6 separate regions of the Mus musculus genome follow, and regions 1, 2, 3, 4 and 5 are each reported to be linked to region 6. The links are microRNA targets in miRTarBase. Many come from high-throughput screens and were not tested one by one. Region 6 holds a microRNA gene; each other region holds the end of a gene's coding sequence.
What was found. Region 6 holds the annotated microRNA mmu-miR-467g (UAUACAUACACACACAUAUAU, at 2,577-2,597, opposite strand). A microRNA usually pairs through its seed, bases 2 to 8, with sites in the 3' UTR of a target mRNA and lowers its output. Matches are read on the target gene's strand: a 7mer-m8 pairs with bases 2 to 8, a 7mer-A1 pairs with bases 2 to 7 and ends in A, and an 8mer does both.

Region 1 (5,075 bases), not on the chromosome of region 6:
GCTAAGTGATGGAGCTGCCATGTGCACCCTTTGTGCTGGAAAATGACACCCACCCATTTCTCGGCAGACCTGTTGCTACAGTGACCGAACTCTCCGGCTTTGTGTTTAGGAACTTTGAGTGTGTGGGTAGTTGGAGAGGGGGCAAAGGTGGGCCCATGTCTCTGAACAGAACCAGCCAGCATATGCTTTCTTCTATCTTCCCTCTACCCCAGCCCTGCACACACCAATAGCTCCTAACTGGCCGGGTGAACTGAGGTGAAGTCAGGGGCAGGGAGAGGATTGAGAGTGGAAGGCTAGGGGGTGGGGTGGGGTGGGGGTGGGTTCTGCATCCTGTTTGGTAGCCTCTTCCACAAAGGGCACACTCTGGACCTCCCTCTTGCCTGCTGGCTGGCCCAGAGCTGAAGGGGAATGGGAGGGGGGAGGCGGGAGATGGTGGCTCTTAGACCCTACCCCGTTGCCACCTTCCAAGCCTGCCAACGTGAATGGCTTGCAAAGCTAGTCAGCAGTCCAGCCAGTCTTGGGAAAGAGCCACTATCCCTCCAGCCTGAGCCAGCCAAGGAACAATGTGGGATTTGTTGTTCAGGGGTCCCAGGCTTCAGGGGGAGGGGTTGTTGCTCAAGGGTGGGCAGTGGCTTTGAGCTGGGATGCTCAGGAAAAAGATGATGACATCCACAGTCCTCGGAGCCCGATGCCAGGGGAGAGGCATCCCCTGACATTCCCCACGGGTTATCTTTGTTCTGTCTCGGCTCCACCCGTCACCCTGGGCCCTGAGTATACCTGCTTCAACCTCAGTCTCAGCTTCTCACTCTGGAAACCGGAACGATCTCTCCTTCACAGAGGCCTATGGTCATTAAATGAGGCCAGATGCATCATATGCTGGAGCTGGAGCCCAGGGGTAGACTCCTTGCCGAGTGTGCTCCAAGCTCTGGGACCCATGCCCATTGTTAAAGAGGAAGAGGATGGTGTTCTAAGCATCTGGCAAAGTTCAGTGCCTTTTGGGATTCAAATCTCTAGCAATATGGAATAGACTTGCTTTTTTGTTTTTGTTTTTTCGAGATAGAGTTTCTCTGTATAGCCCTGGCTGTCCTGGAACTCACTTTGTAGACCAGGCTGGCCTCGAACTCAGAAATCCGCCTGCTTCTGCCTCCCAAGTGCTGGGATTAAAGGCATGTGCCACCACCGCCCGGCTTAGACTTGCTTTTAAACTACTTTTTTTTTTTTTTTTTTTTTTTACCATTTTTAATCATGTGTATGTGTGTGGAGTATGTGCACATGGACACAGTACCCACATAGGTCAGAAGTCACCTGACACATGTCCTAGGAGCCAAACCTGTGTCCTCTGGAAGAGCAGTACATGCTCTGAGCCACCTCTCCAGCCCCTTGGCCAGATATTAACTCATCTACTTTTGCCCTCAGAGGACCCAACCATGATGTTGTTTATACATGTAGGTTTATATGCATACTATCCATAGTTTATTCCCTATCCAAGAACAGGTTGTTTAGCCCCCGCTGCATGCCTGTTGTATGAATTCACTGTGCAGGGTACTGATTTTGCATGCAGTGATAACAGGCTCATCATCAAATCGCATCTGGAGAACACAGGACCCAAGCGGCAGCTCAGTGCTGCAACATCCTCAATGGCTGAGAACAATGGTCCTCTCCAGATATAGGCATAGAAGCACAGCGACTTCCTTGAAGCAGGCAAGGCAAAAGACAGAGCCTGGGCCCATCCTCCTTCCCAACTAAGGGTCACATTTTTTTTTTTTTTAAAGATTTATTTTATATATGTGAGTACATTGTTGCTGTCTTCAGACACACCAAAGAGGGTATTGGATCCTGTTACAGACAGTTGTGAGCCACCATGTGGTTGCTAGGAATTGAACTCAGGACCTCTGGAAAAGCATCAGTGCTCTTAACCACTGAGCCATCTCTCCAGCCCCTAGGGGGTGCATCTTATCCTTGTAAGGGGTTGGAAAGCTCCTGAGAAGCAGCAAACACCATCCAGTTTTTCCTCAAATCTTTTTCCCCCATGCAGTCAATGGAAGCCAGGGCCTGGTCTATTGTATGCTCCATCAGCGCTCTGTCAATGAGCTAAATCTCCAGACCCTGTCTTCAAATCCCCCCAGCAATAAGAGATCCTCTTCCAGGCTGGATATATTCACGGCTGAGTAGTGGCCTCACCCAAATCCTCTCACAAACCAAGGACAGATGTGGCTGTTTCTTACTGCAGATGCAGGGTGAAGAGATTGCTTATTCTACACGGAACATTCCAGTCTCTATTTCCAGGCAAAGGGGAGGCAGAACAGGGAGTGGGGGAGGGGGACCCAAGAGATCGAGGGTCAGTATAAAACTAGCTGTGGTTGGATTCACATTGGATCAAGGAGGGCCCACAAGAACTGAGGCTGTGAGCTCCAGCTAGACAGGCAGGGTAGGAATTCTATCCATCGAGTTAACAAATGGTTGGGTCCTTTTCTTAGATTTTTGGTTGTGAGCCTAGCCTTTAACGGCTGAGCCATCTCTCCAGCCCTGGTTGGGTCCTTTCCAAGAGACCAATAGCATGGACAGCAAGGATGACAAAGGAAGACTCTGCAGGCCCAGTATACCCCTGAGGACATTTGATTTCTTCTTGGTGGGCACTGAGTGTGATGAGAGGATGCAGAGTTCTGTTCTGGCTCCACTCTGGCTATATGGGAACAAGCAGGTGTAGACTGAGAGGGGGCCATGAGCTTAAGTGTTTATGATGGAGAGCAATTCAGTTTGAATGCCACATGAAAGGCCCAGGTCTGGGCAGCTCCTCTAACAGACCTGCTTAGTGCCACTTGGCAGCTGTCAGCGTACAGGAGTGAGAAGCAGACAACAAGCAGGGCCCAGAAACACGTGTGGGCTGCTGTCCCAGTGTGAGCACACGTGATAGGCCACTGTGTTTCCAGAGAGCGTGAGTATGTGTTCCCTGTAGGTGTGGCACCCTGTGGTCATCCCTGTGTATGATGTGTAGTGGTGCTCATGCCCCTGTGGGTCCGCTGGTCGGTGATATCTGTGGGAAACAACCAGCACCATACACACCCCCCAACACAAAATTGGTAATTTATTGTTGTCATTATTAGGAGGCAAAAAAAAAAATGTACAGTTACAAGGATCGTTTTCCAAACAGAGGTTAAATATGAGCTGAAAACTGTAAAAAGGAAGAGGAACATCACTTTACAAATTATTAAATTAAACAAACAAACAAACAAACAAACAAAACCAAAGAACCAACCCTCCCATGCTGAGTTCTCTCCTTGTACAACTCTGTGAAATGAGAACAGAAAATGAGATGGGCCGTGGAGGTGGGGACCCTGGGTAGGGGCAGGACCTGGGGCCAGGAACAGTGACAGTGGGGGTTGCTGGGACGACATGGACCCTGGTCCTCCCTCTTAGACCTGGTTGTACCTGGTGGCCCTATCAAGGCTGGGGACAGAAAAGGAGGCTCCTGCTGGCCTTCAAATTCAGGTCCTCCACTGGGAGACAGAGATACTTTACAGGACATGGGGACAACCACTGCCCTATGTGGCAGTCTCCCCTCTTCTGCATATGAACTTGCCCCACATCGACCCTGCATCTCTCTCTGCCTTTCCAGTTTGCCCCTCCCAGGTCCCGATTGGCCCCTGCAGCATCAAATGGTTGATCTTAGTCTTTGCTTAAATTAAAAAATTAAAATATATATACATATATATACTGTACACACAGGACAATAACAGAGTGTTGAAAGGGGAAGAGGAGGGTGGGGCAGAGAGTGAGGAGAGGGCTTGCGGGGCCAGGGCTGTTGACAGGGAGGGGAGTGGGGTAGCTGAAGGGAAAAAGAGAGCAAGGGAGAGAGGTTAGGGGACCAGACTTGGGGAGAGGGCAATTATTTTACAATAAAAACAGGAGTTGAAACCTCAGCAGAATAGGGCTCTAGGAGCCCCAGAGGGCCCTCCCCACACTGGGTGAGGAGGAGTGGGCTTAGGGAGAGACAACAGGGTGGGCGGGGAGCTCGGCTTCAGGTTAGGTGACTGTGGTCCCTAGTCAGAAGAAGAGCCACAGTCTCAGCTTCTCCGTGACTTTGAGTGTTGAATAAGCCACTGTAGGGTGATGTCTGAGGGGAGACAAGAGAGAAAGTTGTAAGGCCTCCCTGTGTGAGAAGGGCCTGGGAGGTATGAACAGTTAAGCCAGGTTCCTGCAATGGCAGCCTGGATCAAGCTTAGAGCTGTGACCCCACCCCCCCCCACCCCCCACCCCCAGCTCCACCCCCCCCCACCCCCACCCCCCGCACCAAAAGCTCCAAGCTAGTGATATAAAAGACACAAAGCCACAGCTAGCAAAGAAGGGACTGGAATACCTGCTCTAACCAATCTCAGAAGTGGAAGAGGGGGCAGGGCTAGGGTAACACCCAGAACTGGGGCCTCCTAGCTGCCTGCTGCACCCAAGGACAAAGTGGCTCGGTATGGACTTCCCAGATACCGCATCAGAAGTATCTTTCCCTTCAGCCCAGCCACTCCTGGCAGAGTGCCAGCAACTTCCCCAAGCCACGCACCTATGTTGTCCTTCTCTTTGCAGGATATGGAGTAGCAGCAGATCTCTCGGTCCTGGATAGCAGACAGGTTCCTGCGGGAAGACCAGAGAGGAGTCAGCGGATGCTGGAGCAGTTAAGGGACCAGGGAAGGGCAGGGTGTTTTTCTCAGTAAAAGGTCTACAAGAGGAGGGCGAGGCTTCTGGGAAAGATACGTTCTGCTGCCACCATGTGGTAAACACCAAGAACAGCAACAAGCCCAGCCCAGAAGCCTTCGGCAGCTGGGGAATTTGGGGGAGCTGAAGCACACAAAGAAAGGCCACTCAGCTCACATTTTCTCGATTAGCTCCTTCTCATCTAGCGCTCCGGCGAGGTCTCGCTTGTTACCAAGGACTAAGACCTATACAGGAAGCAAGCCGGGGAGAGTTAGAGCAAGGATACCTGGGTACCTCGGCTGTACGGCGCTCCCCCCCTCCCCCGCCCCCGCCCCGTGATTTCTGATCAGCTCCCTCTCCCACCCGCTCCATCTCCAGCTGACCGGGATGCC
Region 2 (5,075 bases), not on the chromosome of region 6:
ACCACTATGTCACTGACAGCATGGCACCTCATCCTTGCCGTGATTTTGTGGTGCTCAGGTGAGGCATTCCTGTCACCTTCCTGCTGTCCGGGGCCAGAAAGGTGGGCCAAGGGTCAGCGGTAGGGACCTAAACATGGGCTCTTGCCCTTTCATGTTCCAGGATGTGGCGCTCGGACCTGCCTCGTGGTGGGTGCCTCCTTGTCTCTCAGTCCCTGGATCCTGAGCAACCCGTGCCAGAGTCTGGAGTACGCGCCCTCATGCTCACTTCCCAGTACCTCATGGAACCCTGTGGCCTGGGCCGCTCTCGCCTCACTCATATTTGCCGCGCTGACCTCAGGTACCAGGCCTGGGATGCCTGCCTCACCCCCTTGGCCCTGAGCCCATCCATTGCACTTACCCTATGTCAGTGATACCCAGTGTGGGAAAGACTTCCTTTCTCTCTTGGACGGAAACCCCATTTCTCATATCTGCCTGCCTCTTCCTCCCCAGGGGCCGTTCTCCTGACTGGTACAACAAAGTCTTTGGGCACTTGTGTGCCATGGAAGTGGCAAAGATCCGAGACTCTTTCCCAACCCTTCAGGCAGCTGGCCCGGAAACAAAGCTCTGAGTCTTAGGCTGACATTGCCAGGTGTCTGCCACCAAAGAAATGAGTGGGAATATGAACTGAGAAGCCTTTAGAGACACAGCCAGGCCTCGGTGGCCCAGCTACCTATCCTCTTGTATCCTAATGCTACTCTGCACACACACAAGAGAAGAGGGCGTAGGTATCCTACCTCCACCCACCTTCATCCCCGATACTGCATTCTGATCTCACAAGCGAAGAGAATCTTGTTAGTGGCAAGAAGATCATTGCTGTCCATCTGACCAAGAAGACGCTGCTGTATCTGGAGGCCCAGCAGGGGAAGAAGGTGGAGAGCCTTGGACAGCCTGGGCTCTCTGCCATACCAAGTAGGCAGGCCATCTTATTTGGTGCTAGGGTTCTTTTGAGTTTGAATATGAGGTCTGATCCTGCCTTTGGGGCCAACATTGATCCTGAATACAGGTCTGGAACACCAGATCGGGTAAGCACGGGGGACACAATGACCACCACAATCCATTTTATATGTGAACATGATGCTGAACTTTCTGAAGATTGACAGTGGCCCTATGGGCCCTTAGTAGGTAACATGACAAACTGGGATAACTTGGGATCTGAGGTTAGAGGACCTTTCTTCCTCAAGCCCAAGAAACCAATGAACCATCCTCCCCTACTTTGACCCACACTTTATCCATTACTCTCTAGAGTTGTGGGCAGCCTTTGGCCACTCATGGCCATAGATACAAGTGAAATAGCTCATTCCCATGACACAGGCCAGGCCAAAGCTGACAGTGGCAGCAAGAAATACAAATGTATCCTCATGCCTTTTGCCTACAGTGGTGGTCTATAAGAACAGTCCTTTTGGCTGGAGAGGTGGCATAGTGGTTAAGAGCAGTGGCTGCTCTTCCAGAGGACCTAAAAGTTCAATTCCCAGCAATCGCAGGGTGGTTCACAACCATCTGTAATGAGATCTGATGCCCTCTTCTGTAGTGTTTGAAGACAGCTACAGTGTACTGATATACATAATAAATAAATAGATAAATAAATCTTTTATAAAAAGCAAAACCAAGTGTCCTTAAAAAGAAAAAGAAAAGTCCATTCCTAGAGTAGACACCCTAGAAAAACACAAAGAAGGGCGTACCTTAGCCATCCTGGCTGATACCAGCCTGATCTATCCCATCTAGTGGTTATGTTTGTTCAGATAGAAACCGAGCAGCCATTCAGAGGCCAAGTGGTGCTTTCTTTGTCTTTGGCTGAGTAAACTGGATTGTGGTGGTTTGTAGCCATCGTTGTGATGTTAATCCTGTTTTGTCTGTGCCTATAAATACTGTACAGCCATAATATATATGTGTATGTGTATATATATACATATGTATATACCTATACATATACACACATATTTGCATGCACACACAGCTACTCCCTCTTGAGTGCGTTATAATCTCTGGATGGGAGCAGGGTCTGGACTAACACACTTCTGTTCTAACGAGAGAGGAGAGGTGAAGGGCAGGCCGCAGCAGTTCCCTCTGCAGAATAATAAAGCAGGACTGGAGATGCACACTGGCTCTGGAGAGTTTGTTTTGCTGAGACAATGGGCTGGGAGCTTGGGTTGCAACTCATATCCATAGGTCACAGATTGTGAGCTTGGACCTTACCTTCTGCAGACTCCCCAGCAAATGGTGTCAGGACTTGGGGTAACACCCTAGGGAAAAGCAAAGACCTTTGGTCTTGGGAAGGTGATTGTGAAGGCAGGCAGAGTTTGGAGAAGCCAAGCCTCAGACAAAAACTTCAACCTTCATTCCATGACTAGGCTAGGGTCCTGGATTTGAGCGTCAGTTTCCATCGTGACCTCAGGAGTCCATAACAGTTCTAAGAAGGGTTGTGCCTGCCTCAGAGCTTTCTTTCCACTCCTACACAGCCCAGGCAGAGCAAAAGTAGTAGGGGTACAGGCCTCAGGTTTGGGGGGTTCTATACCACATACACAACACTTAAAAGAAGGCTGCCTGCCTTGAGGCAGCAAAGTATTGGGATCTCTAAGCCAGGTTCTATTTGATCTCCCCCAAAGGAAAGACCTTTACCAGTTTGCTGTGGCCATAAAACTTCTAAGCTCTAGGCCATGGCCTGACTCATCGAAGCTGCTGTCATTTTGGACATTCTGTGAGAACTCTTCCCTGCTACTCTCAGTGAATGGCAGACACCCGGAGATGCCCCAGGGCTGCTGCAGAGGGCCCCTGACGTAGTAGGGTGGGCCCGGGAGATCATTCTAAGATTAAGGGGCATGGGGTTGTTTCAGGGGTGGAGCTTCAGGACTAGATCTCCTCGTACCTAATGCTGGTAGATGGAAGAGCATATTGGTTTCCTTAAGATAGGCGAGCGTTCGGTAGTTGATGATTTTTCATCTGACTCTTAGGTAGTAGAAGTTATCTCTCCAGTTTACAAGTTTGATCCTGCCCGAGTTGATATCACTTAAAAAAGAAAAAGGGAGAGAGAGAGAGAGAGAGAGAGAGAGAGAGAGAGAGAGAGAGAGAGAGAGAGAGAGAAAGACATATGAATTGCATCAAAACAATAAAAGTGGGCGTACTACCCCATCCTCTCCAAATGACATCTTCAGGTTCACCTTCTCACATTATTAGAATGGAATCACAGAACTGGACAGACAAACCCAATAGTTAGGATGATTGTTTTCCCATTATTGAAATCTGTGCTTCTGCTCAAAGTCTTCCACACAAGGGTTCCTGGCATAAGGCAGGAGATAGAATCAAGAATGAGTATGGTGAATTCCAACACGAACTGCCTGGTTCTGAGTTCATGAAAAGACTCTTCAAACATTAGGCAAGTTTAGCAGCAGCAATGACGGGAGCAGCAAAAACAAGCAAAAGTGGGGCAAGCAAAGAGGAGGTTGTCAGGATCTAAGTTGCTGTTCCAGAAACAAGGCAGCACGGTGTGGCATTCAAGTCTTGATACAACATGCTGTGAAGCCACTATGGTAAACTGAGTCATCCTGAAAGTTGATCTTATACAACTGTTGACTATATTAACTATATATAACTGTTCAACACATTTTGTACTTGGTACACAAGGAAACCCAGCTTTTATACCCTGCCTCTATGAGGTCAACACTGATGCCACTGAAAAATGACATTAGTAAATTATATGAGGTACTGGTATACATTGTGTATATTAAAAGAACTGTCAATCCAGGAAAAACAAAGCAAAGCAAAGCAAAGCAAAAGGAAACTAAAGAAAAAAACATCTAAGCTCCAGGGCAAAGGTCAAAAGAAAGTAGTCATAAAACTTAGATTTCTGAGCAATGCATGTATAGTCATTTTCGGAAGAATCACTGAGTGTGCTTAGGAAAATCAATCAGAGCTATGACATCACTCGGGGACAGAATCAGATCAGATTAATCAGTGTGCAGCTTATTTCTGGGGAGAAGGCTTAAATGGCACACCACCGAGCAGACTTTGGACTCCTGAAAGCATCTGCACTCACCAGGGAGTATTATTAGCCTAGGTGCAAAAGGCCTGCTGCCTGTCACAGCTCACCTTCATCAGAGCTCCAGTAGAGGACCTATGAATCATGCTCTGTCACATTCCTGGCTCCAGGAGCGTTCAGGTGGGAATCCTTCAACAGATATCACAACCAGCCACAGCCAAAACAGACTGGTCACCTCTATCATGACCTTCCCTAGTCTTGCTTCTACTCGCCAGGGCCTATCTTTGACTTTTCATCATCAGTGATGCTTGGGACTTTGGAAGAGAATCAGATGGGCAGAAAAACACTCAGCCTCCAGCTTTGGGGGGCAAAAAGGTAGCTTTGGGGTAGGGGGAAGCATAGCAGGGGTGGGCTTCCAGGACACATGGCTTGATTGTCAATAAGACAAATAAGATGGGGAAGATTTCTGGAAGAACAACATTCATCCAGCATTCTCTCCAGGGCCTCTGGTGCCCTGAGCTGGCTGCCAGGGTAGAGGGAGCCCCAGGCAGGCCATGTTGAATCAAAAGAACATGAGGTGGAAAAGGAGGCTGGCAGCTCAGGCTGCAGTTCCACATCAGGACCCCTCCCTCTCTGGTTTGAGGCCTTCTTCACAGGTACTCATGGTCCAAGTAACCCAGCAGGGTCTGTACAGCTGCACAGCCAGCCTGCATCATGCCTATCTGTGTGCTGCTGGTAATCCTTCCAGAGACACACCTCCCATTTCCCAAGCACCAACACTTCCTGTACGGCTTGGGACCCCCATGGAGCACCGAGCCTGAGAACTGCCATGCCAGGTGGTGCCAGGCTGCTGGTTCTCGGTCTCACTCAGTGCTCTCAGATCTATGAGCCCTGGAGGTTAAGGCGAACGACACATGTCCCCGATCAAGTGAATCCAAAGCAGATGGCTGAACTCCCTCTGAGGGTCACACACAGCCTCTGAGGTTCAGGAAGTGGGTGTTGGGAACCTCAAAATCATTCTTTCTTTCTAGCCCTGTGTCTTGCTTGCCTCACTCTCAGAGTC
Region 3 (5,075 bases), not on the chromosome of region 6:
TCCCCTATTATTTTTAGTTTAAAAGTCTATTCTGTATTAAAATCAATATAATGTCTGTTTTCTGATAGTTCATGTGTGGTTCTAGAAAGGGTTGAAGAGTAATTCATGTTCTGTATGTGGGAGACTGGTTGAAATAATTCTTTTCTAGATTTTTGATATAGTTAAAGGTTTCTTCTCTAGTAAAACCCATAAATTGTTATAAAATCCTGTTCAAACAAGTCAGATTTATATGGAATGCATAACTAAGCTGGAATGTTGGTGCATACCTGCAATCCAGTATTCTCAGAAAAGAACCGAGAGGAGGAGGCAAGAAGAACTGGACATAGTTAAGGGTGTTTGTTTCTTTGGTCAGGAATGAGAATGTGCTTTTTTGATACAATCTTTTTTATATTTTTAAAATATTTTTCCTAAAATAGGGTGATGGATTAGAGTTCAAGAGACACTTCCTGAAGATTAAAGGGAAGCTCAGCGATGTTGTGAGCAGCCAGAAGGTTTGGTTTCCTGTTACATGAGGAAGCTGTCAGCTCTGCACATTCCTGGTGAATAGAGTGCTGCTATGTGACATTTTTCTTCCTAGAGAAGATTATCCTATTCTGCAAACTGCAAACAATAGTTGTTGAAGAGTTCTCTTCCCATTACCCAAACATCTTCCGATTTGTAGTGTTTGGCATACAAATACTACTGTATTTTAATTGTATGTAATGCTTTGGGGAAAGGATGGATCAAATTCATTAGGTATTTCTCCAGCTGTCTTTAAATTGTCTGGATTTGAAACCAAGTTATGGGATACTTGAGTTTGCCAGCTTTTATACCCATGTAGTAGTATCACTTTTGAAAAATCAAAAGCTTGTTTCATCCCAAGCAAAATATTTTCTTCTCTGCCTATTTAATTGTAAGGATGAATAAACACAGACCATATACAGTTGATTGGTTCATGAATGAGGCCAGCCACAAAAATGTGTATGTTAATGTATGTACTGTATTTTCAGTTTGGGTATATGTGCTGCACAAGGGCTTGACCAATTATAAAACTTTTTTGAGTTAAAGTGTTTTAAATTGCAAATTTTCCTCCTGGCGTAGCTTGTCAAATATAAAGACTAATTTGGTTGGATTTTCACAAAGTTGAACATAAACTCTAGTGCTTAAGTGACATTACTCTAAAAATTACACACTTAAACAATTTTTTCTAGATTCACAGCCATATTTTAATTACTCTAGAAATAAACTATTTTCAAAATCAATATCTAACTCTGAACTTATTGGCCAGCCACCAAGTTTCTAGATGACACTGACTGAAAAGGGGCGGGAGTAAGGAAATGCAGGAGTTGACCGGATCCTTGTTCCTCACCTTGTACACTCACTTAAACTTTGTTTTGTTCATAAAATTTATATTAAAATATGAATATATGATTGGGGTCCTGTATTCCTTTTCATAGATAAATTCCAACATTAGTTAGTCTGAAAGCTGAGAACATTTAAAATTTTATGGCTCAAGTTTATTTCATGTTGGTATATGCTGTTGTCACCCACTTAACTCTCCCATCCCCAAAAGTTAACTTGAACCTAACTCTATTCAGTCTCCTGTTTCCCACTTGTAGTCCCACTGTGGTAAAAGTCAGCCATCTTGTTAAAAACGTTACTTATTCGAACCCCAAGTCCCATCTGCGCTGTACTGTTTTATGTCATTGTCTTCTTCATCTGATGGTATGCAGTACTGTCTTCCGAGCCTGTATCTCTCAAGTCATGATTGCTTTCCGCCATTACTTGGCACCTACTCAACTATATTGCTTTGGTCTCCATGATTTTGAATATTCTTGTACTTCATATAAGTAGAATTGTATATTTGCCTCTTAGTGTTTGGGTTACTTCATAACAACTCTTTTCAGGATTTATCTATGTTATAACATATCAGGTTTCATTCCTTTTGGTGACTAATACTCCATATTATGTATGTCTGTGCGTGTGTGTGTGTGTGTGTGTGTGTGTGTGTGTGTGTATGTATACTCTTTCATATGATCATGCATATTTGGATTGTTGCCACCTTTTGTCCATGTAATTGATACTGGTGTGAACATGAATATATAAGTACCTGCTCAAGTATGTTTTTAATTTTTTGTGTATAGACCCTGAGGTAGAATTGCTATGTCATATGATAATTGTGTGTTGTTTATTTTTTTCCGCTTATAAAATACAACAATTTATTTAAAATTTGTAACAACTGTTTTTTGAAACAGGACCTCACTGTGTAGATCAGACTGGCCTTTGGCCTGTGAACTCATTGTCCAGCCCAGGCTGTTTCTTTTTTTCCTGACTCTGTCTCCCAAATACTGTGATTACATAGCATGCCTGGCCCAACTTGACTTTGACAGGACAGCTATATTTACAGCTATGTTGTCTTTCCTGTGTAATTTTATTAACACCAAAAGCTATATCTTTAAATGTTGTACGCACACTACAGTAAATATGGGTTTTATTTATTTTTTTATTTTGAATCAAGTTTTCATGTAGTCTAGGCTGGCCTTTAACTTGCTATCCATGAGTGGATAGCTTTAAATTCCTCATCTTTCTGCCTCTACCTCCTAAGTGCTGGGATTACAGATGGCGTGACAGCTCATCTACATCTTCTCCATCCTTGGGTTTTACATAATTGTTCTTATATTTGTTGTTGCTGGGGATCCAATCTAGGATCACATTCAAGTCTTGCAAACACTTTTACTGAGCCAGATCCTTTTTTTTTTTTAAAGCAAGTTTGACAATTCTTTTTTTTTAAAAATTAATTTATTTATTATATGTGTGTACACTGTAGCTATCTTCAGACACTCCAGAAGAGGGCATTAGATTTTTGTTACGGATGGTTGTGAGCCACCATGTGGTTGCTGGGATTTGAACTCAGGACCTTTGGAAGAGCAGTCGGTGCTCTTAACCACTGAACCATCTCACCAGCCCCACTGAGCCAGATCCTTAAGCTGGGATTTTTAGTTATGCCTTTTCAGAGGTATTTGTATTGTGGTTTTTTACTGCTCTCTAGCATCTTTTCATCTAAAGTTCAAGGGCAATCTGTAGGCACAATTTTTTTGCAGCCTATTGTAATAAGGGTTCAACCTCTCTTCTTGCCCACCACCTGCTAGAGGTAGCAGAAAAGAAAAGTTATTAGAGATGGGGGAAGTAGACCTGTTTAGCAATAATTTTTAGCCCTTTAGGGGTGAGCTTGATCTTCTTTGTCCCCCGTTCAGTCCCATAGCAAACACCAAACAGAAATCAGCAACTACCGTCCGGTCCTCTTGGCAGGCAGATAACAATCTGTAGTTCAGTCCTGAGGAAACCACAAGGCTTGCCAACTGGTCCGAGGCTATGGAAGCAGCAAGAATTAGAGCAGTTCTTTGGTGAGCCTCTTCCAATGGCAGCATTACCACAAGTGGAGCTCAACAACAATATGTAGGGCCAACTAATACATGTGTGTCATTAGTGAAGAGTAGCTAGGCAGAGCAAGCCAAACCAACGCTCTTGCTCTCATTGTGTGCGGGATCATATTTATACTCCTTCATCATGTGTCCTTTCACCTGTGTCTGCTTCATGAAAACATTCTTTCACATGCCTGCTTTAGCGAGATATTCTTTTATCTGTGTGCCCCAGCAAAAAATCATTTGTCATAACTGACTTTCCGAAGAAACTTAGAAATTTCCACTTTAGCAATCTTAATCATTTCTTACATAGCAGTAGTAGTTATAATCAGTTCCTTTAGCCCACTGTCTGTGAATCTTAATTTTGCCTTTATTTCTATGGGATAATTCTGTTTCACCAGACACTGAATTTTTAGTTGATAGTGTTTGGACATTTTTTTTTTCCTTTCATTAATGTATATATCACCTCACTGCCTTTGGGCCTACAAAGGTTCTGCTGAGAAATTAACTGTTTTTATGAGACAGTGGCACTAAGTAGCCCAGGGTAACCTGGGCCTCACTGATAGACCAGGCCTACATTAAACCTGCAACTCTTCTGCCTCAGCTTCCCAATGACAGGGTTACCAATGTGTACTACTGCACCCAGCTAACTGATAATCATATTTAGGATCCTTTCTCTTCAGTGAATTGCTTTGATGCCTTCAAGAGTCCTTTTTCACCTTTAGTTTTTGATAGTGTTGTGACAGTATGTATGTCTCAGTCTTAACCATCCTGAGAGCTCATTGTATTCCCTGTGTTTGCAGATCCATGCCTGTCTTCTGATTTGGAAGCATTTCAGTCAACTAGTCTCTGTCCATCCCTTAGTCACTTGTGAGGTAGTACTGACTGTGTGATAGTGTTGTTTAAGTCCCAACTTAAATTGCTTATGTCAGGCTTCCCTTCCTCCTTATTCAATTTTAAGCCTTCGGAGTTGGTGATAATCCGTGGTAGGAATGTGTGTCAGTGCTAAAACATCTGACAGTGCTGTATGGTTGAACCGAAATCAGAGTTGCGGATTCTTGGTTTAAACCTGCTGTTAAATTCTCCAGCACCAACACTGCTTGTTTACATATTGGTTTCCTGATTGCTCTCACATCAAAACCTGTTGTTCTCTGAACACACTTGAGACCCTCCATTTAAAGTGTTTCTGTGGGGAGTGTTCAGTACAGTTTTCTTTCTTTGCATGTCTTCCAATCGTTTTGTTGAAAGCTTGGCACTTGAGGCCTGGAGATAGGGCTCGGTGGTTCAGAACTCTGGCTGCTCTCACAGAGCATGCAAACCCCCAGCACCCACACTGGGCAGCTCACAGCTCACCTATAAATAGCTCCATGGGATCCAAAACACTCTTCTGGATTCTGGCCACTTGTACATCCATACATACCTAGACATATTTTTACAAAAAACAAAAACAAAAAATAAGTCCTTAAAAATAGTTTTTCCTTGAAAAACAAACACAACTCTTAAACTTGCTTTGCGCACATCATAACAGCAAGGTATGTTTTGAGCCTTGGGATCAAGCTGATGTGAAGGGTTAGTGTCTTCTCGTCCTTCTTGCCTTCACATTCCTTTTCTCAGTTCCTCTGTGTGTATAGCTGCTTGCTTTGCTCACCTGTTCAACTGTGTATGTATACTTTT
Region 4 (5,075 bases), not on the chromosome of region 6:
ATCACCTTAGAGGTCAGGAAGCTTCAAGTTTCTATAGGCCTGGAATCATAGCACTCAGTAGGCTGAAAAAGGAAGACATCTGTGATCTCAGGGCCAGCCTGGGATACATAGAAAACCCTTGTGTTTTTGTTTTGTTGTTGTTTGTCATTTTCTTCTCTTTTCTTTTAAATCCGTCCAACACATTCAAAGAAAGTAATAGCAGGGTAGACAAAGTCCCAGATGAAAATTTTAAAGTGGACCAAAGAACAGTTTTAGGAGACATCAGAGAGAAGGAAGATCTTTTACAATTTAGCAGGCCTTCAAGCTAAACAATTCAAGTCTAGCTATTTGTCCCTTCTTTTGTAGACATTAGTCATTATTCCTTTAAATTATTTGGGAAGAGAAAGGAGGCCACCAGGGTAAGAGGAAAAGCAAAAGGGAATGATGGGAAGTATAATCTAAGTACAATGCATACATGAATGGAAAGGAAACATATTATTTCGTACAATCAATATATGCTAACAAAATTACTTTAAGTCCACAGAAGATAGTAAAATTGAAAAGCTACTATGTTTATTTATTGCATCAAATTTCAAAAGTCTGACTAAAAAAAAATATTATAACCTTTACCTGTGACTGTCTTATCATCAGGTTTAGAATAAAAGGTGATAAAGGGAGATATGAAAATCTAGTAATTCTGGATGAGCAGTAATACTGTGACCCATCAGTATCAGCCACTCCAATATCTACTGCAAAGAACAAAATCTTAAATATAATCATAGCAACATGCATCCTTGTAAAAAAAAAAAAAAAAAAAAAAGAAAAAAGCGATGGTCTACTAGGTGCTGGGATGCAGGAGCCAGAGGTCTTTTTCCATACAGAAATAAAAAATACATAGGTACAAGTGTCCACTTGTTGGATTTCTAGATATTTAAGTGACACTCACCTAATAAACATATGGTGATCCCAGGAGTCCCATGACAGTCACCGAGTACAACGAATGGGTTCCAAGCACCCAGTGTTTAGAGGGTATACTGCAGTCTATCCCCAAAGGCCCAGTTTCTTATTTCCCATCCAGTGGTAAACCTTTTTTTCCTCTGCCCAGGCTCCCTTCTGTTCACTCTGTGAAGGCTGGGAAATTCACCATTTACCTCCAAACATTCTAGACTAAATTTCAAAAGGTAAGCCTTATTGAACAAAGCAGGTATTATTTCTTAGGATGCTCTAAAGCAAGTGGTTTCTAAGTAGGAACCAAGAAAGCTGGAACTGATAGAACTAATTTTATTTTCCTGGGTGAGACCTTGATTTCCAAGTTCACTTAGGAGGCAGTTGCAGCAAAGGCTGGCATTTACGAGATGCTGAGTATCACTAAAACCTCAGTGGGGTAGTGAACATCTAAGCATGGCTGGGAGGGCAAGTGGGCAAAGCCTCTTGGTGAAAGGTGAAAGGGACATGAGGGAAAGGAGAGAGGCCTGTAAGGACCAAGGATAACAAAAGGGAGAGGATTTGACAAGAAAGACACTCAAAATCTCCTCCTGCTTTACACCATGAACTGTGGTATCTTTAAAGCCAGCAATCTTTCAAGAGGGTCATGAGATGACTTATAGTCACCACTCACTAACAGATACCTCTGGAACATACGCTCTACTTTCAATCAACCTAGGGTCAATTTCCAGACGTCGGCAGAAACTTAGACTAGGACCAGTGGTATGGTGTGGGGGAAAACGGCACAGTTATGCACAGTGTTGGTTTCCTCATTGCCGTAGCTAAAACACTTTCTCAAAGTGAAAATGAAAGTTTGAATTCAATGCACATGGAAAGTATCTAAGGACTTTCCTAGCTGTTTCCTACAAAGCCATAGAGAAATAATGCTTTGTATGCTTTGATTCTTGCACACTCCACAGGCACTTTCTGTCTAATTATAGAAGTTGGGCATGTGCCTCTTCAGAGGGGTTGGCCTACCCGCTAGATGAGTCCCACAGTGCCAGTCCCTGAACTGTCCTGGAAAACAAACTTGGAAACCCTCATACAACCTATATGAGCAATACAAAATTTTAGGCTTATCAAAATTGCACAGAAATAAAACACTCTTCTATCTGCAAAGCAAAGCAATGTTTAAAAGTTATAAATATATTCATAAAAGCCTGTTTTGGCCGGGCGTGGTGGCGCATGCCTTTAATCCCAGCACTCGGGAGGCAGAGGCAGGTGGATTTCTGAGTTCAAGGCAAGCCTGGTCTACAAAGTGAGTTCCAGGACAGCCAGGGCTATACAGAGAAACCCTGTCTTGAAAACCCCCCCAAAAAAGCCTGTTTTGTTTGATGGAATGTGAGGAGAGAGCCAAATCTCAGTAGCAGAGCCCGTGTCTAGTACACAAGAGGCCCCAAGTTCAATTCCAGAACTGCAAAATGAGGGATGAGGAATGATAGGTACCTCTTTGTTCCCCTTTAAACAGGCTCATGGAACACTATGGCAAAGTTTAGAGCTGTGGCCTGCCATAGCCTCTTGGGGTGGACCAGTGGACATGTGTGGCTGGCTGAGAAAGCAAGTCTGTGGGTGGCTCTTAACTCAAGTGTTCACCCAGAGCAATAACGGTGAGTCGAGTTTTTCTTCATGATTGATTTAAATCTCTCATCTGGGAATTCTTTTTCAAAAAAGAAAGGAAGGAAGGGAGGGAGGGAGGGAGGGAGGGAGGGAGGGAGGGAGGGAGGGAGGGACAGAAAGAGAGAGAGAAAGCAAAATAAAACATAACTTTTATAGTTCAAAGACTCCCTTTAAGGAGGCAAAGAAACAGAAATCATCGTGCTTTGGTGAGTGAGCAGCAGGATTGTTTGTAGCAAGTTTGTTTTACAGCCCACTTGTCTGAGAAAGAAAATCCAACCTAGTAAGTAAGACCATAGTGACAGACAATGCCCCTGCATACACTTCCATTCCCTGTGGATCACTCTGGAAGGTTCAGATAGGACATATATGTGTAAGCCCCTTTAAAATATATTTTTTCTTTTTTCTTTCTTTACCATATAGAACACACATACATACATATTATCCTAAGGTCAACTGCAAAATATGAACTTGCCTCCAAGTAGTTAAAAGACTAATAAGATACAAAGAAACATCATTCTAACAAAGACAGATCATTGATGAGCTGTTTAATGTGAACTGATATATTTAAAACAAGGATCCAGGGTAGACAGGGAGAATGTTTTAGTAGAACATGGCACAGATGAAAGTTAATTAATACCCACTAGCACCTCACATGAGCCAGAAAGACAGAGTAGGCAAAACATCACAGAGGAAAAACCAAGCACATGGAAAAGGACCCTGGCAGGGAGCCCCACTGTCCCAGATCCGCTCGCAAGGTCGTTCTTGTGCACTCAGTCTGGACAGTGTCTGGAAGGGAACAAAACAGTTCTAATCTGAAGCCGAGGCTCCAGTGCCAGCAGCCAGCCTCTTCACTCCGGCTGGGGTCATCTGCCATGTGGCTGGGGACTGAGTATGCTTAGCTGGGACACCAAAGCTCCTTCCACCCTTTGTTTCTCTAGAAGGAACCCTCCCCCAATTTCAGCAGTGGATTCTGGAAGCTTTGAAGCTATTTAACTCAAAAACATGAAGTAAAAGCAGACTCTCTGAACTTAAACAATCAATCAAATGGACAGGCAGACTCATAAAAATAAAACCAAGCGACCAGTTCATTAGCCAGTTAGTTAAGTCAACATCTGAATGAAGACATTTATACAACATCCACAAGACACACCAGCAGAGAGCCACTGCTGGCAGCTGGGAATAAACAGCTATCCTGTCCTTCCAGCACACTGTATTGCTACCAGAGAATGCAGGCCATACGCTGAAGTTTAGAGACTCTTCCAGTTGGCAAAGGACCCCGAGCCATGGTCAGCCTAGTGTGTGTCCAGGTCTATGGGAGACAAGACTTACACTCTCAAGTCACGATCCCCTAAGCTCCCTCGGTTCTTTCCGTACATTATGATCTCTGCATAGGAAGGTCCAAATATGCTGTTTTCCTCTCGGGTCTAGGCACTCTGGAACATCTGACATTAACTAGCTTCCTTCATTTCTTTCCAACTCCATTAGTGACTTTGGACTTAGAATGCCGGTTCCTTCTTCTGGAAGAATGGCTTTCGTGGTTGCTTGAATGCTTCGGTGGGCTGTCTTCAGAACCTGCCCAAAGAAAGCCAACACATTATCACCAGGGGCCTCTGGGCTTTGTGGCTGACTCCTGGGATCTGCCATGCTTCTCAGCTAAAATCCAATTCTTACTTGATGTCCCTCTAGTGGCCCCATTAATAAATTAAGGCCAGGGGAATCTGACAGTCTTGTCTATGCCTTGTGTGTACCAGGTAACTGTCCCATAAAACTGGAGTTCTAAGTAATTTTTAGTCTGGGACACAGTCATGAGGACCAGAAGTGAGTTCAAATGAAAGCATAAACATTAATAAAAGTTCAGCCACACTGGTAGGTATCCATCTTATGCTTACAGCTACAGTATAGATTCCCCAAGTCTGTATACACTGAACGGTTAGACAGGCTTTGTAAGGTCTCAGTTGGAAAAGATTCTTGACTTTATAACTTTAAAACTATTAGCAGAGACATCAAGATCTTTACAGGCAAGGTACCTGATGCTCTGAGTGACAGCCCTGAGGTGACATTGTAACACTAGGGCTACTGTTTCCTCTGATATGAGGATGTGGCCAGCCCCTAAGGGAGTGGCTAAGCCTAAACCCTCTCTTCTTCAGTGTTCTGGTTCAGTTCTGGGTGAAATATTTACCAAAGACAGCCACTTAACGCCACTCCCCAAAGGCCCAGAAGCATTTTGTCTTCATTCGAAGTATTTGTCACAGTCCCAAAGGTTCTGAAAAGTTTCTCCTCTCTCTCTCTCTCTCTCTCTCTCTCTCTCTCTCTCTCTCTCTCTCTCTCTCTCTCTCACACGCACACACACTTCATATGCTGCATCACTTGCACACATAAATTCTTTCTATTGGAGAACGAGGAATGCCCAGGGCTGATTATGTAACTGGATGGGCCCAGAGAAGGTCAGTCTAGTGAACCCCTTTGGCCACACAGGTCAGCAGACTGCAGGGTGC
Region 5 (5,075 bases), not on the chromosome of region 6:
TGCCATAATGGCAAGGGATTCGTATCTTTCTAGAGCCGGGAGCCAAAGCAGTGCCTTCTCCAGGTTACCTGCCTTATGGTGTTTACCACAACGAAAGAAAAGTAGCTAATAAAGAGGTTTCAATTTAGTGGCTTGGGCTCACCTATGAGAAGCAAACGAAAAATCCAGTAGCTTTGGGTTTTCAGTAGCAATTAGAGACCACACAATACTTGCACTAGTTAATGAAATGAATCTCTTTCCAAATCTCTATTTCATCAAAAATTACTTTTATTGTTAAAAAATTCACACATTAAAATCCATTCTTTTGTTGCATAATTCTCTGAGTTTTAACAAACACATACACATTGTAACTATAAATAACACAGAGAAAGTTCCTATTATTAAAAAGAAATCCCTTGTGCCGATACTTGGTGTCTACTGCTTTTTCTGCCTTATTGCTTCATCCTTTCCAGAAAACAACACAAATGAAATATAACAGTAAGCAGCCGTTTGAGTCTGGCTTCTTCTACTTAGCAAAATACATTTCAGATGTATCCAAGTTGTTGCATATATGGTTCCTTAGTTTGTTATTGCTGAGTAGAATCTTGCTGTCGGGATACACCAATTTCTCTATCTCTGCACCAGTTGAAAGGTACCCTCGATTAGATTGTCTCCATTTTTAAGTGGTCTGCAGGTCTAGCAAGGAGGAGGTAAGGCTGCCCACCTGAGAGGAAGCAGTCCCTTCCGGGAAACCTGGCTGAGAAGTGTAGCCCAGGGTAACATGTGCAAGAGGCTGTAACCAGGGTGGCTCCTTCACGTCCCACCCCTTAAACTCTAGGAGAAATTGAAGTGTTAATCGCGTGAGCAATATAGCAAATGAATACAAGTTTGTCCTGAGTAAAGTCAGAAACCCTCAGAGTAGGTCTGACTAATATTTTGGAAGCCAAGTGTTTGTAAGAATATTTAAAAATTACTTTAATTAAAAAGTAGTGAAAAAGGTAAAAATCGCTCCAAATCATACCACCTAAAAATGTTTCCAAGGTGGAGGTGTTTTGTTTTTAGCTTGTACGGAGTCACTTGCAGAAGGTTTACAGCCCGTTATATACATTTCCTATTTTATTCCTATATTTGTTTTGAAATTATCTCTACAAACTATACACATGAACTATTTGCTTAAAAATGTGTTACATACATACATACAAACATACATAAATACATACATACATGTATCTTAGCTTATAACTTAATATAAAATCTTGGATATGAGTAGAGGTCACAATATATTCATAGATCTAGTCTACTGTTTTAATGGCTTCATAATACCCAACTAAATGGATGTGCCATCAGTTAAAAGTCACTCATGTTGACAGGTGGACATTTGGATAATGTCCAAGTTCCTATGTTTTTGAGTTTCACTGAGATTTAATTCACATACCACAACATTCACCCACTTGGTATGTTCATTGTTATACAACCACTGATGTAATTTATGAACACTCTAGCTTTTCTTGCCTACCATTTATTACTACATATATATGCACTTTTTAAACCAACTCTGTACTTGACATATATATGGAATTGCACATTTTGTCCTCACCAGTGACTGGCTTCTTTCCCTGAACATACTCTCAGGGTTCTCCCATGTGGTGGTATATCTCAGAAGTATTCCTTATTTTCTTAATAAACAGCATGTGAAGAAACTGGATTACTGTTTTATTAAACATTTAGTAGAACTCTAGATTTCAAATCTAAAGCAACTTAAGTATAGGTATTGTTGTGGCTTATCTGTCTTGTGACTTCTTTAACCTATTTGTTAGTAGGTCGATTCTGGCTTCCTATATTTGGTTCTTGGTACTTTATCTTTTTAGGGATTTGTTCATTTTTAGTAGGTTAATCTATTGACACATGAGTACAACAGTACTCCCTCACACACCTTCTATTTTTCAAAGGTCAGTAGCAACATTCCCTCCTTTATTTCTCAAACTAATGATTACATTCTACCTCTTCCTGCTGTATGTAGCAAAAGGCTTGCCAGTTTCTCGCTTGGATTCCTTGCATTTTCTCTCTTGTACTCTATTCTCAGGCATTTTGCATGTTTTCCCCTTTTTGTTTGTTCTAGGTGTAGTTTGCTATTATTTTCCTATGGCTTAAGATATGAAGTGAATTACTGTTACACGGTCTTTCTTCTCATTGAATAGGCTTATCTCTAAGCATATCCCATATATAGACAAAGGTAGCTGGGAACCATCAGTGTGGATGCTGAGGATCAAACTCAGGTCCTCTGCAAGAGCAGTAAGTACTCTTATGCACTGAGCCATCTCTCCCGCTTCTTTATTGACCGACTTGGTCTTTAAGTTATCACTAATTTTCACTTATCTGTGAGTTTCCCGATTTATTGGTACTGATGTGTAACCTTCTTCCATGTGGAAGAGAACATGTTTGACAAGACTTTAGTCCATTTGTATTTATTAAGGCCTGTTTTGTGGTTCAGTTCATGATCTAGCCTAAAGATGTTTCATATACATGGGATAAAATATATATATTCTAGTAGAGCTATATTCTAGAGCTGTCTTTCAGATCTATCCAGCATCCAGTGCTGAAACTGGCTACTTCCTTGTTTATCAACTGTGCAGCAGTACTTGTATTAGGAAGGAGACACTGAGTACCCACCAGTTTGGAGATGTGCCTGTTTCTCCTTTCATTCTTTACTTTGTTTGCTACCTTGTTTCAGGTTATTTGAGGGCTCTGTAGTTATGAAAATATGTGATTAAAATTCTCACATCTTAAAACACCAACCTTTTAAACACAAAGTGGATCTTTATCTCTAGCATTTTTGTTTCCCTTTCCTCAGCCATGCGAACTCTTTCAACACACTGTAGGGCTAACAGAACAGTACAACTACCAATATAATTCTGTTACTTCTAGGAAGCAGAATTAGGTTTACAGCCTAGTAAAATTTAGCCACCTTATTTCCCTTTTGTTTTATTTGTTCCTATGGATTTACAGGATTTTTAAAGAAACTATAGCATTATTTCCCAGCCTTTTTGTCCTATTATTGGCAGGTCTGAGGGTTTGAACTCAGGTCTTCCTGTTTGGTGGCAAATGCCTTTACTCACTGAGCCATTTCACTCGACCTTTTGTAGTATTTTATGCTTCTTTCTCGCTTTTGAATGAAATTCTTATTATATGTTGTTTGATGTACTTAGTGGAGTACCCTAAAGTTCATTTTTCCCCTTGTTATAATATAATATAATATAATATAATACCTTGGATATTATAATCTCATTTAACCCTTACTCAGGGAGGTCAGAAGCAATGTTACTTTTTATAGATGAGATAAATGAGGCTCAGAGTGAGTGACTTTCTAAGCTCAGGATGGTAAACATGGGTGACTTTGAGGGTCACAGGTCTGACTCCAAAGCTGGTTCTACCGTCTAAACCATTTAGGTTCTTCTTCTTCTTCAACAACTATAAACGAATCACTAGGGAATTTGAGGCAGGCTGCCTTTCCTCTAAAGAACTTTCTTTCCTGTCCCTTTAATATAGATGCTAGTTCATTTGTCTTGAAAGTTCATACATTAGACAGATACTCCATGTTTAATGGATATTGTTTTGAATGCAATAGTATCATAGACTACCAATATTTTGGTTTAAAAGATGTCATAATAATAAATATGCTTTTGAGGACTCTGAAAACTTAGTGTGGAAGCAATCATTAAGTTAATAAACTTATGAATCTACCTACTGAAACTGTTGAAGGTTCTGACAAAACACAGTTTGAGTTCAGTAAAGAAATATTTTAACACTGGGTTAGTTTTAAAACTTCGTATACAGGAAACACTCCTAGAAAAAGTCTTATCTCTAGGACTAAACACTGAAGACTACAAAATTATTAAAGGATTTTTGGGATCTTTAGGAACAGTCCTATGTAATGTATCCTGAGAATTAAAGGTTTTCACATGGTCTTACCCCTCAGGGTATTTTCTGCCATATATAGTGTTTCATTATTATCTTTAACACCCAGGATATTGTCAATTTTATACAATCTTTTTCAATACTATACAGTATTTAATTATAGAAAATACTTTTTAGGGTGGAGAGATGACTCAGAGGTTAAGAGCACTGACTGCTCTTCCAGAGGTCCTGAGTTCAATTCCCAGCAATCACATGGTGGTTCACAACCATCTATACTGGGATCAAATGCCCTCTTCTGGTGTGTCTGAAGACAGCTACACTGTACTCACATACATAAAATAAATAAATATATCTTAAAAAAAGAAAATACTTTTATCAATTCTCTCCAAATGCTGAGAGCAACTGTCCTAATTTCTTTCTTATATTTCCTCTTCAATTTTCAACAAATTTTTATGAATTTACATATTCTTGATCTAAGAAATGAGAAAAGAAAAATCATCTGAATATTCATTTACATACATATATCCAAATGTGCATGTACATGTGTGTAGATACGAATTCCTAGCTGCCATTGATTTCTGTTCTGCCATCAGGAGCAGATGTTATAAGGGAAGAGCGCTGAACAGCTGACTGTTGCTTTTTGCTCTTTGCAAACTCTATCACCAATATTTTCCCATAGAGTTTATATCCATTAATTTGGTGCAGTGCTTGCCATGCTATGTCTTTATCTGGAAAAAAATAAGAAACATGCATCAAATTATATAGTGCTTAATCACTCAATTATATTACAGGGTTAATTTGGATTTGTGTGCTATAAAAAATCATAATGATGTTTGATGTTTTTGTCGTGCCTGCAATCCCCAGTTTGTATAAGTAGTCAAGATTAAATTAATGGGCAATAATAGTGACAAAAGGCCAGCACCGGGTGACCTTGGGCGTGGAGTCAGTGGACAACCAGAAGGTCCCTAGAGGACTCTCCACTCGATCTTAGGACCTATGGTGAGTGGAACACAACTTCTGTTCCAATCCAATTGCGCGGGACCTGAGACAGCACTAAAGAAGCAGAAAACCCGGCCTGACCAGGGTCACAAATCCTTCCGGTCACCACCAGCACCAGGTCACCTGGGCGAGGAGGCAGAGGACACCCCCAAGGTCCTTAAGAGGACTCTCCACACGATCTT
Region 6 (5,075 bases):
CCCCAAATGAGTATTTGCCCTCCTGTTTTTTGCTATTGACTCTATTTATTTTTATTCCTTAGCCCTCTAAACTTGGCGTGCTGCCCTCTATGCTGTCCCCTTATCATATATCAATTGTCACAGAGTGGGGGTGTAGAATGCTGTTATGGGGACTGGTCATGATGTGATAGCTCCTTATCAGCATCATGGGTGCCTCTGACATTGGTATCTCTGGATCTGAGAGTGAGCCCTATTGCTAGGATGCTGGTTGTATGTACACTAAGTAGGTTAGCAATTTGAGAAGGAGCTTATGATTAGTGATTCTTAATAGCTAAAAGGATCTTTCTGTGGAGTAGGAAACATAAACCAGAGCCAGAGTGATTCCTGGAAAGAATAGGCTAGTGTAGCTCATTACTGAAGGCAAACATGGGACATTATCAGACTTAGCTTTTATATTTACTTCTGCCACTGCTTTCTGCTCGTTACCTAACTTATGTACTGACCCCAATGAAGAAGAAAGGTGCTTGAAATTTCATTTATGGAATAATTAAGAAGTAATTTGACTGCTTCCAACTCTTAAACTTGTGATTTGTGCTGGGTTATGCTGCACTGGTATCTAGAGTTGGCATTGAAGGGAAGTGAACAAATTATATTGAAATACATTGAGTAGTTTACTAGGTGTCTTATGAGGGTAAGTCTAAATCCTATGATAGGGGTCCTTAGAAGAACACTTTCCATAATTAGTTACTTTCATAGGACTGTAGCCAACATTTATGCCTTCCTATACCCAAAACATTTGAACAGTACAGTTCTCTAAGTGAAGTAGCTTAACTGATAGTTATGAGTAAATAATAAATATGGTTCCTCTGGTTTTTATCTAGTGGTGATTTACTGTTAAAGGGCTTCTTTAGGTATAAATATAATTTCTTGCTGTTAGTGAAACTCAGTGTGCTATATGAAAGTACATTACATATGTAAAAGTTAAATATAATTTTTAGATATTGCTATTTTTAATACATTTTTGTGTGTTTTTATCACTAGGGATAGAATCACAAGCCTTATATATCATATACAAGGGTTTTATTACTGAGGTATATCCCCAGCCCTCATCAATACGTTTTAGATGGACTTTGCCTCGCAGTTATAAATTGTCACTAAAATGTTACTTTTCCCAATGATCTGTACTTTGTGTGTGAACCTGCACAGGACACATCCGAATTTCAGATCTTGGTCTAGCTATGGAAGTCCCAGAAGGGGAGATGGTACGAGGAAGAGTTGGTACTGTTGGCTACATGGGTAAGTGAAAGATGACTTTGGTGGACCTTATCCATACCTTCTAGGTGTCCTAGGGCTTAGAACCTAGAGGGAAGACTTAGCTTTTAATTTACTTTAAGTGTATGAACCTCATTAAGCCATAACAATAATGCTACATTAAAACATTAATTTAAAAAATATTTATATTACATTTATTTATTATTATGTGCATGTATCTGTACATATGAGTACCTAAGGGAGTGCATGTAAAAGTCAGACAACAATTCAAGTGGGTCAGTTCTCTGCTTTCACAAAATTCAATTAGTCAGGCTTGAAGGCAAGCACTTTTACCCATTGAGCCATCTTTCCTGCCCCTAAAATAGCACTTAATAAAGCTAATTATCACTCTGATACTTTATAAACAAACACAACAATTCAGTCTTCCTGTTGGAAAACAACAATTAGCTCTAAGTTTAATTAAAAAAACAAAACAAAACAAGATTTTGGGGGGTCAGGGGAAGCTGGGCATGGTGATCTATGGGATTAAAGGTGAGCACTACCACACACATCTAATAGACATCTCTCCCCTGCCTTTATTGTTATTTTGAGACAGGGTTTCTCTGTGTAGCCCTGGCTGTCCTGGAACTTACACTGTCGACCAGGCTGGCCTGGAACTCTGTCTCTGCCTTCTGACTGCTGGGATTAAAGGCTTGTGCCACTATCTCTGGCTTCTTTCCTTACTTTTATTAAACAGATTCTTTTCTCATACAGTATAATTTAAATACAGTTGAATACAGTTCCCTTCCCTCTGCTCCTCCCACTTGTTCCCCACTCTTCTCCATCCAGATATACTACTCCCTGTTTGTCTCTCATTAGAAAAGAACAGGCTTCTGGGAGATAACAAAACATAACAAAACAAAATATAATAAGATAAAATGAAAACTATCATATTGAAGTTGGACAAGCTAAGCCAACAGAAAAAAATGAAAGAGGCCCAAGAGAAGGCACAAGAATCAGAGACCCACTTGTTTACATATTCATAAATTTCATAAAAGTACTAAACTGAAAACTTTTATTTATATATATGCATATGTGCATGTATTTATTTATATATTTATAAATATATAAAAGTTATATATTTATATATATTATATATATTCCCCCGCAAAATGCTGGGACTAGATATCATCCAATTGAGTTGTCAACTGAAAGAGTATCATGGAAATCCCTAACAACCCAGGCTGTTACCAAGACAGTAGGTTGCTCTCCACAAACTGACAACAAGGCCTCATTACATTCATATATATACATGAATATACATATATATATATATACATGAATATATATATGTGTGTGTATGTATATATACATATACATGTGTATGTATGTATATATATGTATATATATATACACACACACATATATATATATGCATGCACAAGACCTGGTGCAGACCCATGTAGGCCTTGTGATTGATTGCTGCTTTAATTTCTGTGAGTTCATATGAAATTTGCCCAGTTGTTTTAGAGAACCTTGTTCTCCTGGTGTCCACTCTCTCTTCTGATTCCCCTATTCCTCTGCCTCCTCTTCTGAGGGGTTCTCTAAGCTCTCAGGGGAGGGATTTTATGGAGATATCTGGTTTAGTGCTCTCTCTCTCTCTCTTCTCTCTCTCTCGCTCTGTGTGTGTGTGTGTGTGTGTGTGTGTGTGTGTGTGTGTGTGTGTGTGAGAGAGAGAGAGAGAGAGAGAGAGAGAGAGAGAGAGAGATTTGGCTCTTTGCATTTATTGCCATCTGCTGTAGGAAAAAGCCCTTGTGGTGATGACTGAAAGGCACTGAACTGTGACTATAGCAGAATATCATTAGAAGTCATGTTATTGTTACTAATTTTTTTGACCAGTGATATTTGGTTATACTCTAGGTTTCTATGATATCTAGACTCTGGTTCTTGATGACACAATCAGTGTTGGGTTTGGGTATGGCTATGTAATAGGCCTTACGTCAAATCAGACATAGGCTGATTACCCCCACAGAGTTTGTGTCACCATTGTAGATCTAAGGATTTGTGGTTGAGTTGCTGTTTGCTTTTCTCTTTTGGTACCCTGCAGAATACTTTCCTATGTCATAGGCATTATAAAATGGGAGCAAAGGTCCTATGTAGGCATCAGATTGATCTTTCCATTTTCAATGAGTTGTGTAGGTATTGTCTTCAGCAATGAGCCCTTGTCAATTTGTGGAGAGCAACCAATTGTCTGAGTAACAGCCTGAGTTGTTTGGTGATTTCCATGGGACCTTTTTAGCTAACAGCTCAACTGGATTATACCCAGTCCCAGCACTGGAAGCTTCATTTAGTGACAAGACATGGCAATTAAGAGTTCTGACTCCCTCATTATTTGGAGACTTCATTTGGATTGCCTTCATATAGTTAGTTTTTACTGCACTAGATTTCCATACTGCCCCACAAATAATCTCCAATTCTTAATGTCTTTCCCCTTGATAACTTTCTTCTATCCCATCTTCCCTGTCCCTTTTCCATATGATCCTCCCATTCAACCTCCCAACCCCTGATTCCAGTCCACCCATAAAATCTCTTTTATTGTCCCTTCCCAAAGAGATCTAATGTGTCTCTCCCAGTTCTGGCCACTATATCTAACCTCTCTGGGCCTATGGATTCAATGGTTAATATCCAAATATAACAAATTACATACATATTTATATTTCTGGGTCTGGATTACCTCACTTAGGATGATTTTTTCTAGTTCTATTTCCTTGACTGAAAACCAACCTACCTTCCTTCCTTTCTTATTTTGAGCTGAGTAATACCCCATTTTGCAAATGTACCACTTGTTCTTTATTCATTCTTTTGATGAGGCTGTTTGCAATTTCTGGATATTATGAGTAGAGCAGCAATGGATATTGTTGAGCAAGTATTAGGATGAAATGTCATTTCAGTATATGCCCAATAGTGGAATAGCTGGATCTTAAGGTAGATAATTTCCCATCTTTCTGAGGAACCACTATACTGATTCTTGAAGGAGTGTTGGATTTTGTCAAAGGCTTTTTTTTTTTTTTTTTTTTTTTGTGCATGAAATAAGAGGACTATATGTTCTTTGGTTTGTTTGTTTTTTAACTTTCAATTTGTTTAGATAGTAGATTATATTTATTGATTTTCATGTATTGAACCATCTCTGCAGCTTTAGTATGCAACCTACTTGTTTATGGTGCATTATCTTTTTTTATGTCTTTTTGAAGTCTATATTTTTGCATCTATGTCCATAAGGAAAATTGGTCTGTTATTCTTTTTCTTTGTTGGGTCTAGGTGTAGTTTGGGTATCAGGTTAACTGTAGTTCATAAAATGAGTTGGACAGTGTTCCTTCTGTTTCTATTTTGTGGAATAATTTCAAGAGTTTTGTTGTTACCTGTTTTTGAAAGTCTAGTAGAATTTTGTACTAAAACCATTGGGCCCTGGGTTTTGTTAGGGTGGAAAACTTTTTAATGACTGCTTCTATTTCACTAAGGGGTTATAAGTTCGTTTAAATGGTTTATCTGATCTTGATTTAACTTTGGTAAGTAGTACCTATCGAGAAAATTATCTATTTCTTACAGATTTTCCAATTTTGTCAAGTACATGGTTTTTTAAATTTTTTTAAAGATATTTTCTTTATTTACATTTCAAATTTTATCCTCTTTCCTCATTTCCCTCTGAAAACCCCCCTATCCCATCCCCTCTCCCCCTGCTCACTTTCCCAACTATTCCCACCTCCCTGTCCTGGCATTCCTCTACACTGGGGCCCTTCACAAGACCAAGGGCCTCTCCTCTCATTGATGTCCACAAGGCCATCCGC

Region 1: miRTarBase lists Arl8a as a target of mmu-miR-467g. Seed matches in the 3' UTR shown: 8mer at 3,701-3,708.
Region 2: the mRNA of Stard8 is a reported target of mmu-miR-467g. Seed matches in the 3' UTR shown: 8mer at 1,947-1,954.
Region 3: the mRNA of Chek1 is a reported target of mmu-miR-467g. Seed matches in the 3' UTR shown: 7mer-m8 at 1,946-1,952 and 8mer at 1,996-2,003.
Region 4: miRTarBase lists Ptdss1 as a target of mmu-miR-467g. Seed matches in the 3' UTR shown: 7mer-m8 at 3,012-3,018 and 7mer-m8 at 3,008-3,014.
Region 5: the mRNA of Rbm41 is a reported target of mmu-miR-467g. Seed matches in the 3' UTR shown: 7mer-m8 at 4,410-4,416, 7mer-m8 at 4,224-4,230, 7mer-A1 at 2,498-2,504, 7mer-m8 at 1,196-1,202, 7mer-m8 at 1,192-1,198, 7mer-m8 at 1,184-1,190 and 3 more.

Annotation. Positions count from the first base shown.
Region 1 is chr1:135,154,261-135,159,335 of GRCm38, reverse strand. It overlaps Arl8a (ADP-ribosylation factor-like 8A), which reads right to left. Exons shown (of 7, transcript NM_026823.2): 4 at 5,067-5,075; 5 at 4,861-4,928; 6 at 4,553-4,623; 7 at 3,068-4,114. The coding sequence ends at 4,065. Among named protein-coding and RNA genes, the nearest start is that of Arl8a, 10 kb to the right of the region's middle.
Region 2 is chrX:99,072,594-99,077,668 of GRCm38, forward strand. Stard8 (START domain containing 8) reads left to right here. Exons shown (of 14, transcript NM_199018.2): 12 at 1-58; 13 at 161-337; 14 at 490-2,135. The coding sequence ends at 607. Among named protein-coding and RNA genes, the nearest start is that of Stard8, 33 kb to the left of the region's middle.
Region 3 is chr9:36,705,772-36,710,846 of GRCm38, reverse strand. It overlaps Chek1 (checkpoint kinase 1), which reads left to right. Exons shown (of 13, transcript NM_007691.5): 13 at 417-2,365. The coding sequence ends at 512. Among named protein-coding and RNA genes, the nearest start is that of Acrv1, 15 kb to the right of the region's middle.
Region 4 is chr13:66,996,045-67,001,119 of GRCm38, reverse strand. It overlaps Ptdss1 (phosphatidylserine synthase 1), which reads right to left. Exons shown (of 13, transcript NM_008959.3): 13 at 2,719-4,152. The coding sequence ends at 4,043. 4933433G19Rik (RIKEN cDNA 4933433G19 gene) reads left to right here. Exons shown (of 9, transcript NR_045851.1): 7 at 1,085-1,160; 8 at 2,432-2,570; 9 at 4,066-4,302. Among named protein-coding and RNA genes, the nearest start is that of 4933433G19Rik, 34 kb to the left of the region's middle.
Region 5 is chrX:139,941,282-139,946,356 of GRCm38, forward strand. Rbm41 (RNA binding motif protein 41) reads right to left here. Exons shown (of 7, transcript NM_153586.2): 7 at 247-4,622. The coding sequence ends at 4,456. Among named protein-coding and RNA genes, the nearest start is that of Rbm41, 55 kb to the right of the region's middle.
Region 6 is chr5:34,730,296-34,735,370 of GRCm38, forward strand. Mir467g (microRNA 467g) reads right to left here and starts at 2,677; the gene lies at 2,558-2,677. Grk4 (G protein-coupled receptor kinase 4) reads left to right here. Exons shown (of 16, transcript NM_019497.2): 11 at 1,186-1,275.